Linked DNA regions of Rattus norvegicus. The protein of the gene in region 2 purifies or fractionates together with the protein of the main gene of each other region. This does not show direct contact. Links are inferred from orthologs where the notes say so. Each region holds a gene or a part of one and is shown on either strand. Other genes may lie near its edges.

The links.
Region 1: the proteins of Vasp (region 2) and Pfn1 purify together in Homo sapiens (affinity purification with western blotting; 3 studies listed by BioGRID and IntAct, with this or other methods). This does not show direct contact. The link is inferred for Rattus norvegicus from reciprocal best matches to the Homo sapiens genes VASP and PFN1.

Annotation. Positions count from the first base shown.
Region 1 is NC_086028.1:55,863,696-55,868,147, forward strand, and holds Pfn1 (profilin-1), read right to left. Parts: upstream 2,893-4,452; 5' UTR 2,776-2,892; coding exon 2,644-2,775; intron 1,277-2,643; coding exon 1,084-1,276; intron 563-1,083; coding exon 465-562; 3' UTR 187-464; downstream 1-186. UniProt on the Homo sapiens protein: Binds to actin and affects the structure of the cytoskeleton. At high concentrations, profilin prevents the polymerization of actin, whereas it enhances it at low concentrations. By binding to PIP2, it inhibits the formation of IP3 and DG.
Region 2 is NC_086019.1:88,049,894-88,054,462, forward strand, and holds the start of Vasp (vasodilator-stimulated phosphoprotein), read right to left. Parts: upstream 3,063-4,569; 5' UTR 2,885-3,062; coding exon 2,880-2,884; intron 2,578-2,879; exon of another isoform or gene 2,561-2,577; coding exon of another isoform or gene 2,553-2,560; intron 1-2,552. UniProt on the Homo sapiens protein: Ena/VASP proteins are actin-associated proteins involved in a range of processes dependent on cytoskeleton remodeling and cell polarity such as axon guidance, lamellipodial and filopodial dynamics, platelet activation and cell migration.

The DNA.
Region 1 (4,452 bases), on a different chromosome or scaffold from region 2:
CCCGCAGGCTTGGACCCATTCTCTGGTCTGGGTGGCTATGTTCCATTACATACTAATTCAACTGGACCTGAAATGGAAATAACACTATAGAGGGGCCTATGTCACATCAAGACGCAGATACATAATTGAGGTGGGTCACAGTGCCTGTCTCCAACTAATGCGAAGTGCAAACCACACAGGTCCTTGTTAGTAGAATCTTTTTTTATTCAGAAAAAAAAAAAAGAACAAAACAAAAAAAAAGTAAAACAAAAATGAAACCCAAAAACAATTTTTTCCCAAACACACACAGGAGGGGGTATGGGTAGGGGGAGGTATCTGTCCATCCAGCCCCAGCCCCCAGCCCATGTGGTTTTGGCAGCAATAAGGGAAATGGGGTAATGGCCCAAAAAATAATGGTGTGTGTGTGTATGGAAAGAAGGGGGTGCAAAAGCCAAAGGGAGCGGTGGGGGAAGGGACAGATGAGGTCAGTACTGGGAACGCCGCAGGTGAGAGGCCATTTCATAACATTTCTTGTTGATCAAACCACCGTGGACACCTTCTTTGCCCATCAGCAGGACTAGCGCTGGAGGAAAGAGAAAGGAAGCTAGGACCCAGGTGTCACAATTCAACCCAGCCAGCTGTTCAGCAGCTGTCCAGCCCCGGGGGTTGTAACCTAACCTCATTCCCTCCTCCCCTTATACACAGGCAGGCTGTCAGTCACCCTAAAACAATAGAGCTTTTCAAAGAAGAAAAAAAGCTTTAAGACTAGTAAAGAAAGAACAAAATTTAGAGGTCATAGGCTTACAGGTTGTAGACTGATGTGGCTAGGAACTGCTTCCTACCTCAGGTCTTTACAGAACTCAAGATTAGAGCCAAATGCTGACTTAAGATTCCAACAGTCTACTCCCAACAAACTAATCTCAAAAAGCTCAAAGCAAGAAGACACTTAAGAGGTAATGTAGTTTCTTTACACAATGGGGATATGGGGAGCCATCCAAGGTTCCCATATCCAGCAGAGTAAATACTGTTTTGCAGCTCTGACACACATAAAACCAAGTGACTAACAGGAAGTTAGGGATTTCAAAGCCAGCGAATCAAACTTACTCTTGGCAGTCATGGTGACAGTGACATTGAAGGTGGGGGCTCCCCCGGTGCTCTTGGTACGAAGATCCATTGTAAATTCCCCGTCTTGCAGCAGTGAGTCCCGGATCACAGAACATTTCTGGCCCCCAAGTGTCAGCCCATTCACGAAAAAACTTGACCGGTCTTTGCCTACCAGGACACCAACCTCAGCTGGCTAGAAGAATCAATCACCTCATTAAGTTAGTGCACCTGCATAACTTGTCCTCTTATGTACTGTGGAGTTGGAGGTGAAGGTGTTTCATACACACCATCAAAAGTTGGGGAAAACAGTACTGTGGGTAGTGTAGAGAACGACAATGATCCTAAACTCTATTAAATGAGTCCAAGGAAGGAAAAATATTCCTTTGAAGAATTAGATTTTCATGCTTAATAGAAAAAGCAAAGAAAGAAATGTTGGGTACCAAAAACGGATCAATGATCGAGGGGGGAGCCTTTGGATGCTCAGAACAGTCCTTCAGGAAAAGCAGAAGCGGAGAGGGGAAGGGAGGGGGTAGGAAGGGAGGAGAAGTAACTTTGTCCTTATTTGGTCAAAGGTTCTGCAGGCGTTGTTAGGAGCCGGGACTCCTGGGTCTCCCGGTGAGCTAGAGTTTAGGTCTAGGTATCTATGCCCCAAGATAAGGAAGCTGACCCCTGGGGGCTTTCTAATTAAGTTTAAAAAGTTTATAAGGGCAGGAGACTAGTCTTTTGAGTCTAGACATCCCAGAGAACCTTACTCCTTCTCCCCCTTAAACCCCAAACCCCATATCCGGTACCCTCCCGCCCGGAAATCCCCTTCCCCCCATTCGAACTTCCGCTCCCCCTCCCCACTTCCGGGCAGTGTGGTCAGGGAAGGTGGTGGCAGGGACAGCAGCAGCCTTATCCCTTCACTTTTACCGTCTCAGAACTTCTCGCAAAGTTCCCCTACTCCGAGCCCTGCCGGATGGCGGGAAGGGAGGGTGAGGGGACTTCCGGGATTGGCCTCACAGGAATGTTGAGGCTAACGTGCCGAATTGGGGGTGTGTGTGGTGGCGGCCTCGCCCTCTCTAACGGAGTTGGGAGGGGCAGGGTGCTACCGAGGTCCTGCAGGGCCCAAGGCCACGCGCCTGGCGCTCCCATCAGCATAAGGGGAAACAATGGTGGAGGGAGAGCGAGCAGTCGGCCCAAAGGGGAGTCCAAGCTCCCCAAGCCCCTTATCAATCATAATCCCAGGCTAAAATTGCAGCGCGTGCCTGCCCCGCCCTGGAGGAGGCGGAAGTGGGCCGCCGCACCGGGCGACGCGCCCCTCCCCGCCCTGTGCCCCGGATGTAACGCCCCGTCGCAGAAAGCGGGGCGGCGGGCGAGATGGGCGCCGCCGCCGATGGGCGTAGAGCTTGGGGGGCAACAGAGGGACCTAGTTTCATGCAGCCGCCATTCGCGCCGCTTCAGGAAGAGGACCGGATCACGGCCTCTCGCTGCCCTCGCTAGACTGCGCCCGCCCCCACCCAAGTCTCCCAGAGGGTCTAAGCCTGATCAATGCCCCGGACCGCACAAGCCTCGCAGTACCGTAATGCTAACGAAGGTCTTCCCGGGGACAGCGGCCCAGACGGAGGGCGAGTCCTTGTAGCCTACGATGGCCGCGTCCTGACAGGTCCCGTCCGCCATAAGGCTGTCGATGTAGGCGTTCCACCCGGCCATGGCGCTGCTGCTGGGGCTGCTCTGCGGGCTGCTGCTGGGATCGCGGGCTGGGCTCGGGCTGACGGGCGGGGGAAGGCAGAGAGCTCGGGGCACGCGCTGCCGTCCGGAACGCGGCTGTGTTAGCTGTGCAGCAGCCCTCGCACCGCCACTTCCTGCTCCTCCCCCCCCTCTAGATTTTTATTTGCAAAGGGCGGCGGGGCGGGGCCTGCTCCCCATTCCCTCCCTCCGTCCCCCCCTCTTGCCAGGCCAGATAGCGAACTTTTGCAAATGCAATTTTAAAAAGCCCTCCCCCCTTTTGCAAAATTTGCCGAGTTCGATGGAAAGCCACGCGAAAGGCTAGAGTGGTGGTGGCAAGAGAGAGGCTAAGGTTAGGGCTCGCTCCAATTCGTACGGGATACAAACCACTTTGCCGCAGAAGGAGGAAACCAGAGGAAGAAGGGGGAAAAGAGGAAAATTAGTAAAATTGAGCAAATTAAAGTGGGTTCCGGGAACCCAGGGTTAAACCGAATCATTCCTCCACCCCCCAACCCCCACCTCCGCGGGAGGGAAGGAACGGCGGGCGGCGGCGGCGCGTGCGCCCGCGCCTGCGCCGGGGCAGTGAGAAGACAGCGCGTGGGGCGGTTGGGGCTAGCGGCTTGGCTGCGCGAGCGCGCGCCTGGCAGAACAGATTTGGACCTTCGTAACCGGGAAGACGCGTCCCCAGCAGGCGGGACGGGCAGACGCCCTGGGTTTTGTGGGCTGCACCCTTCTCCACATTTTACTTAAACGATAAGGGAACAAAAGTGAAATTGACATAATACTCTAGTAATTTTCAGTACTAAAGGTCTCCAACAAGGGCACCTGTCCCAACCGTCTGCCGTGGACGCACTTGGGTTCATTCGAGCGCGTCCCTATATTCCAGAGGAATCATTCCCTTCGCTGGATCCGCTCCAGCTCAGAGCCTCGCCCCATGCCTGAACCCTGACTACAGAGGTCACTTGAATAGGGGCGCCAGCCGGGTGACAAGACGGGACTCATTTTTCAAGGCGGAAGAATACTAAAGTACCAAGAATGACAACTTTTATAAGAAGAGGAAAGTCCCCTCTACTTTGGACCCATTGGGGCTTTCTTCTTTTCCCGTAAAACTTTTGCTAAGTATTTGTGTGCGATCAGGTCACTTGCCGCCGTGCAGGTCTAGGGGGGAATGGCAGGCCAGTGAGGCTGGAGGGAGTGAAGGAATCACTCGGGACCCTAGCCTCCGAGGGGCTCGGCCGCTTCCGGTCCCTCGGAGGAGGGGCGCCGGGGTATGCAGCCTCTCCCAGTGGAGGGATTTGGTTCGCTGCCTCTCTGGAGCCGGGTTAGGCTCCCTGATGTTCATCTCAAAATTCTGGCTCCCCACGACCCCCCCCCCCAGCCCTAGTTCTTCGACAGCCGCGTGGCTGAGTCACGGGCGGGGCCGCGCTGGGGCACGTGGCGGTCTGCGCCCGCCATCCCTTGACCTCTGATCTGCGCGCCTCCCGCCCGGGGGTGAAAAAATCCTGCCGGGAGTGGCAGGATGATAAGAGGGGAGGGGCGGGACGGGGACGCGACGGCAGGTGGGGACCCTAGGGTGGAGGCAAGAAGGGCCACCCCGAGGGTAGGGCGGAGGGGAAGGAGCGCTCGAGAGCCTGCCGCTGCGTGAGTCACCCGCTCCAGCGC
Region 2 (4,569 bases):
CCCACCCCCAGCCTTACCCCACCATCTCCTTGCACCATTAAACTCGTGACACACACACACACACAGACACAGACACAGACACAGACACAGACACACACACACACACACACACACACACACACCATGAACTCTTAAGTCTCTGAAGCAGAATAGTCCGGGGTGGCCTAGAATGCAGCCCAGACTGGCCTCCAACTTGCCAAGTAGCAGAAGATGACCTTATTGGGTGGGTGGGTGGAGGAATGGTAATGGTAAGTAAAAAACATAGACAGCTCTAGTTTTTTCTTTTTGTAATATTACTAGACTTAGACAATCCTAGGTACAAATTCAAACCTTACCACCGCTAAATTGATTTTTATACATTTTTGAAACTGGGACTCAATAACCCAAGCTGGCCTCCAGCTCCTGGTCCTCCTGCATTCACCTCCTAAGTACTGCGTTACAGGCATGAGTCACCACATCATACTCCCAAACCATTAAACTTTAACAGGCCATTTCCTTAACATTGCTGAGCCTCAGTTTTACTACCTGTAAAGTGGGGGTAAGACCAGGGGCACAAGTTTGTACTTTCATTGCCCTTAACTGCCGTGGAGATGAAAATGGAAAGAAGATGTGTGACTGAACCCGCTACATCACTTAAAAGGGAAAGAAAATAACAACCGCAGCTAGCGTTATTGCAAGAGGAAAGGAGTGAAGCTTTCAGAATTCTGCCCAAGAGCCCTCAGACCTCTGACCCCTTCTCTGCCTTTTCCCAGCTCCCGGATGCAGCAGACACTCGGCAAATATTTGTCAAACTGGGAGAAAAAGAACTGTATCTTGTAATTTTCCATCTCAATCACCACCTCCCTTCCCACTCCCCACAGGGCTGTCCCCAGTCAAACCAGTCCTGCCCCCTTCCCCACCACAGCATAAGAACCTCTGAGGGCACTGGACCCAAGCTTCAAAGTCTGGGGGGGTGGGGCTCAGTTTACCCAGCAAGGAATAAGGAATGGGTCTGTCTGTCTCTGTGTCTCTCTGAATCCTAGCTGTCCTTGGAGAAGTGACACAGCCAAGCAAGTGACCAAGGACGAGGGAGACCCTCTCCTAAGAGGGTGGGGGCTCGTTCAGTTCAAGTTGTGCCTACCCTTCAGTTCAAGTTGTGCCTACCCTCAGGGGAGGGAGGTCTGGCCCTGGCCACAGCCAGAGGGGGACGGGCTGCAGAAGGACGGGGACTGGGGGTGGGGGTGTAAGGGGCCGGCCTAGACGTTGCTCCTGCCCTTTTACGGTCTCAGCGAGTGAGGCGGCACTAACTCGGACATCCGCCATCCGCCTTCCACCGGGCCTGGGACCGGAAACGGGTGGGGGAGGGGCGGGGCTGGGGGCAGCAAGAGAGGAGGGGGGTAGTGGAGGAACTGACCCCCTTTAGGGGGACAGAGCTCCCACGGGGGAGGAAAGGCCAGGCAGGAAGTCTCCAGGGTGTCTCGATGTCCCCCTTCTAGCTCCAGACGCTAACACTCCCACATGCCAAGGGACAAACTTGGGAGGGAGGGAAAGAGGGAGGGGTCCTAGCTCAGGGCCCTAGAGAAGAATGTCACCTAGATGTCAGAGGGCAAGACTGAAGGATGTGCACATGGGGGGTTAAGCCCAAACTGTCCCCAGGAGACTCCTCCTCTAACCAGGGGCTTTGGGGCAGGAAGTCCCAGCCAAAGTGGAGGAAGGGAGATAGTATTGTCAAGATGTGGCCCCAAGGGAGAGATTATGGGGGGGCTGGGGCTGAGAGGAGGGGAGGCCTCTACCAGCCCAGGCCCCACCCTCAGGTGAGCCCAGGAGTTCAGGGCAGGTCCCAGAGAAGACATTAAAAAAAAAAAAAATCTCTGAGTCCCCCTCACCCACAGGATTAAATTCCTGGGAAGAGAGCTGAAAGAAGCGGGTAAGCCTGGGTCCCTGAGGGAGAAGGCTATGACCTTGACGCTTTCCAGCGCCCCCTCCTCCAATCCCACGGCTTGGGGAAGGGGGGTGACACCCGGCGACATTGAGCCCAAGGGGAGGGGCCGTGGTGTGGGGAAAAGCAGCTGGCCACAGTGCTCACTCGGGGGCCCGCCCCCCACACCAGCTGTCTCGACAGGTGAGTCAGGAAGACAAAGGCCCCCCCTCCCCCAGCTGCCGCGCCCCCTCCCTCACAGGCCACCAGGTTAGGGGGTGGGGGTGGAACTAGAACCGTCCTCTGGCCCGGGGGCCAGGAGCCGCCCTGGGCCTGGAGTGCTCCCGGGTCCTAGGACCCACCCAACCTGGGTGCCTAAGGGGAGAAGAGTCCCATCCAGACCCTCTGGGCCCCGTGGGTCAGAGTCTCAAGAACCCCTCCACCAGAGAACCTCCGTGTCCACCAAATTTTGGGACATCAAGAAGTACCCCCAAAGTTAAGGACCGCGGTTCCACTCTGGGACTCTCATCCAGTGCCCCAGACGCAAGGGTCCGAAGACCACAACCCGAGACTCAGAGTTTCAGGGCTCGGGTTCTCAAGCCAGCCTCCCACCTGGTTTTGAGTTTGGGGGCAGTAACTCTGAGCCCACTTATACCAGTTCATCCCTGCGACGTTCTACTTATCTGCGAACTCGGAGGTGCTCCCCCCAAAAGTCTTCAAATTCTGAGTCCCGAGAGCGCCCCTAAACCTGAAAGCCATCAAGAGAACCTCAGCCGGCACCGCCCCAAGCCTTTAGGGAGTAGTGTGGAGAAACGGGGTGTCGATATTTAGAGATCGCTCCAAGAGACATCGGCCCAGATCTGGGACGCTCAAAGCGCTGTGTCCCCTAAATCCAGCCCCGAACGAGCTGGGGGGAGGGGGACAAAGGCGGGGCGCGAAGCCGGGTCCCGGCTGGGACCCGGCTGGAGGGTTCGGGGCTCACCTCATGGCTGCGCAGAGGGCAGGCGGCGCGCCCACGGGGAGTGCTCCCGGGGCGCCCCTGATTGGAAGTGCAGGGGTGCGGGGCTGGCTCCAGGTTCTGCTCAGTCTCTCTCGGGGTCCCGCCCCATAGAGTCCAGCTTCCTGGGGAGAACGTGGACCGGGCCCGGGCGGGTGCTCAGGCGCCTCCTCCCTCCGGTGCTCTGATGTGCTGGGATCCCCTGCGATGGAAAGCGGGGTGCAGCGTCCGAACCTCGCCGGCGCACCCCCTCAGCCGGCAGCACCTACGCGGTTACTCTTACTACTGTACTCTCTTTGCTACATTTCGTTCCAAAATTCCACTCCCCATACCCACAATGCCCTGCGCCTTAAAGGGGCCGTGGACGCCTCCAGGCGGGGGATGGAGACCGTTTAAAAGGCAACGCGGAACCTAGGTCTTCCGCAATTGCACTCCTTCCTCTCAGTCTTGTGGCGTGGGGGTGCACCCTGGGCCTCACTCCCGAGTTGGAGGGGGAAGCTTGTTGGAAGGGAAGGGGCCATTCTTTGATCTCTAGCTGTCTCTACTATGGAATTCTTTAGTAGAGATCTGGGGGTGCCAGTTCTCCATTCCAACTCGCTCGGTGGACTTCTGTTCAGTTTTTATGGAGGGCGGGGGTTCTTCTGGTTAAGCAAAGGATCTCATTAATTTCCACCTTTAAGTAACACTTCCGTACATCCTCTGTTCCCCAGATCTCTCTTCTCAGGTCGGGCCCCACCCCTCGCCGCCCCCCACCCTCCGGGGAAGGTGTGGAGGAAGTGAGCGAGGGGGTGCGACGGGCCGCTGACTCACCGCCGCCGGGTCGCGGCTGGGGTGGGGGCGGGGGTGAAGAAGGTGGAGGATAGACTAGGAGTGAAGGGTTGGAGGTGGGACCCCGATCTGCTTCCCACGCGTGCCCAGCTATGGCTTAGTTTTGCCCACAGAGGATAGTAGGATCGTCCCAAGAATCCCGCAGGCTCAGAGGCTCGAAGACCCTCCCTGGAGCCCCTTCCACGCAAACACGTCGGGGCAGAGTCAGCCCAACCTCCCTCCAAGCCTTCCGCAGTGGGACCCATAGGCCCCGCCCAGAGTTACATCATCATGCGGACACGCCCCTCCCGTAGAGCTCCACCTGGCAGGGTAAAAGGCGTTAACTCTCAGAAAACATCAGTTCCTGACTTACAGATGGAGAAACTAAGGCACAGAGACAGGGAATGGGTTTAGCTTATGATCGTCTTGTTTGGGTCCCCCCCCCCAAACTTACGGAGAATCAATCCACGTGGCCTTTGGCCAGTCTGTTTCCTGGATGGTATGCTGGCTCCCTGTTGGCCTTGCAAAAACCTCATCCTTCAGGCCAAACACTTAATTCTGCACTGAAAAATCTAGTACACTAGTTGTCCTGCCACAAACCCGGAGGCTGAGGCAGGAGGATCTCGAGTTTGAGGCCAGCCTAGGCTACAGGGTGACTTTAATGTCATCTTATATATTTAAGAACACAAATAGAAATGGGTCAGCAGTTAAAAAAAAATACTTGCTACTTTTGCAGAGGACCTAAGTTCAATTCCCAACACTCACAGGGCTAACAACTGCCTGAAATTATAGCATTATGTTCATACGCGCATGCCCACCACCTCCACACACTTATATAGCTGAAAATAATACAAGTAAATTTTTTTTT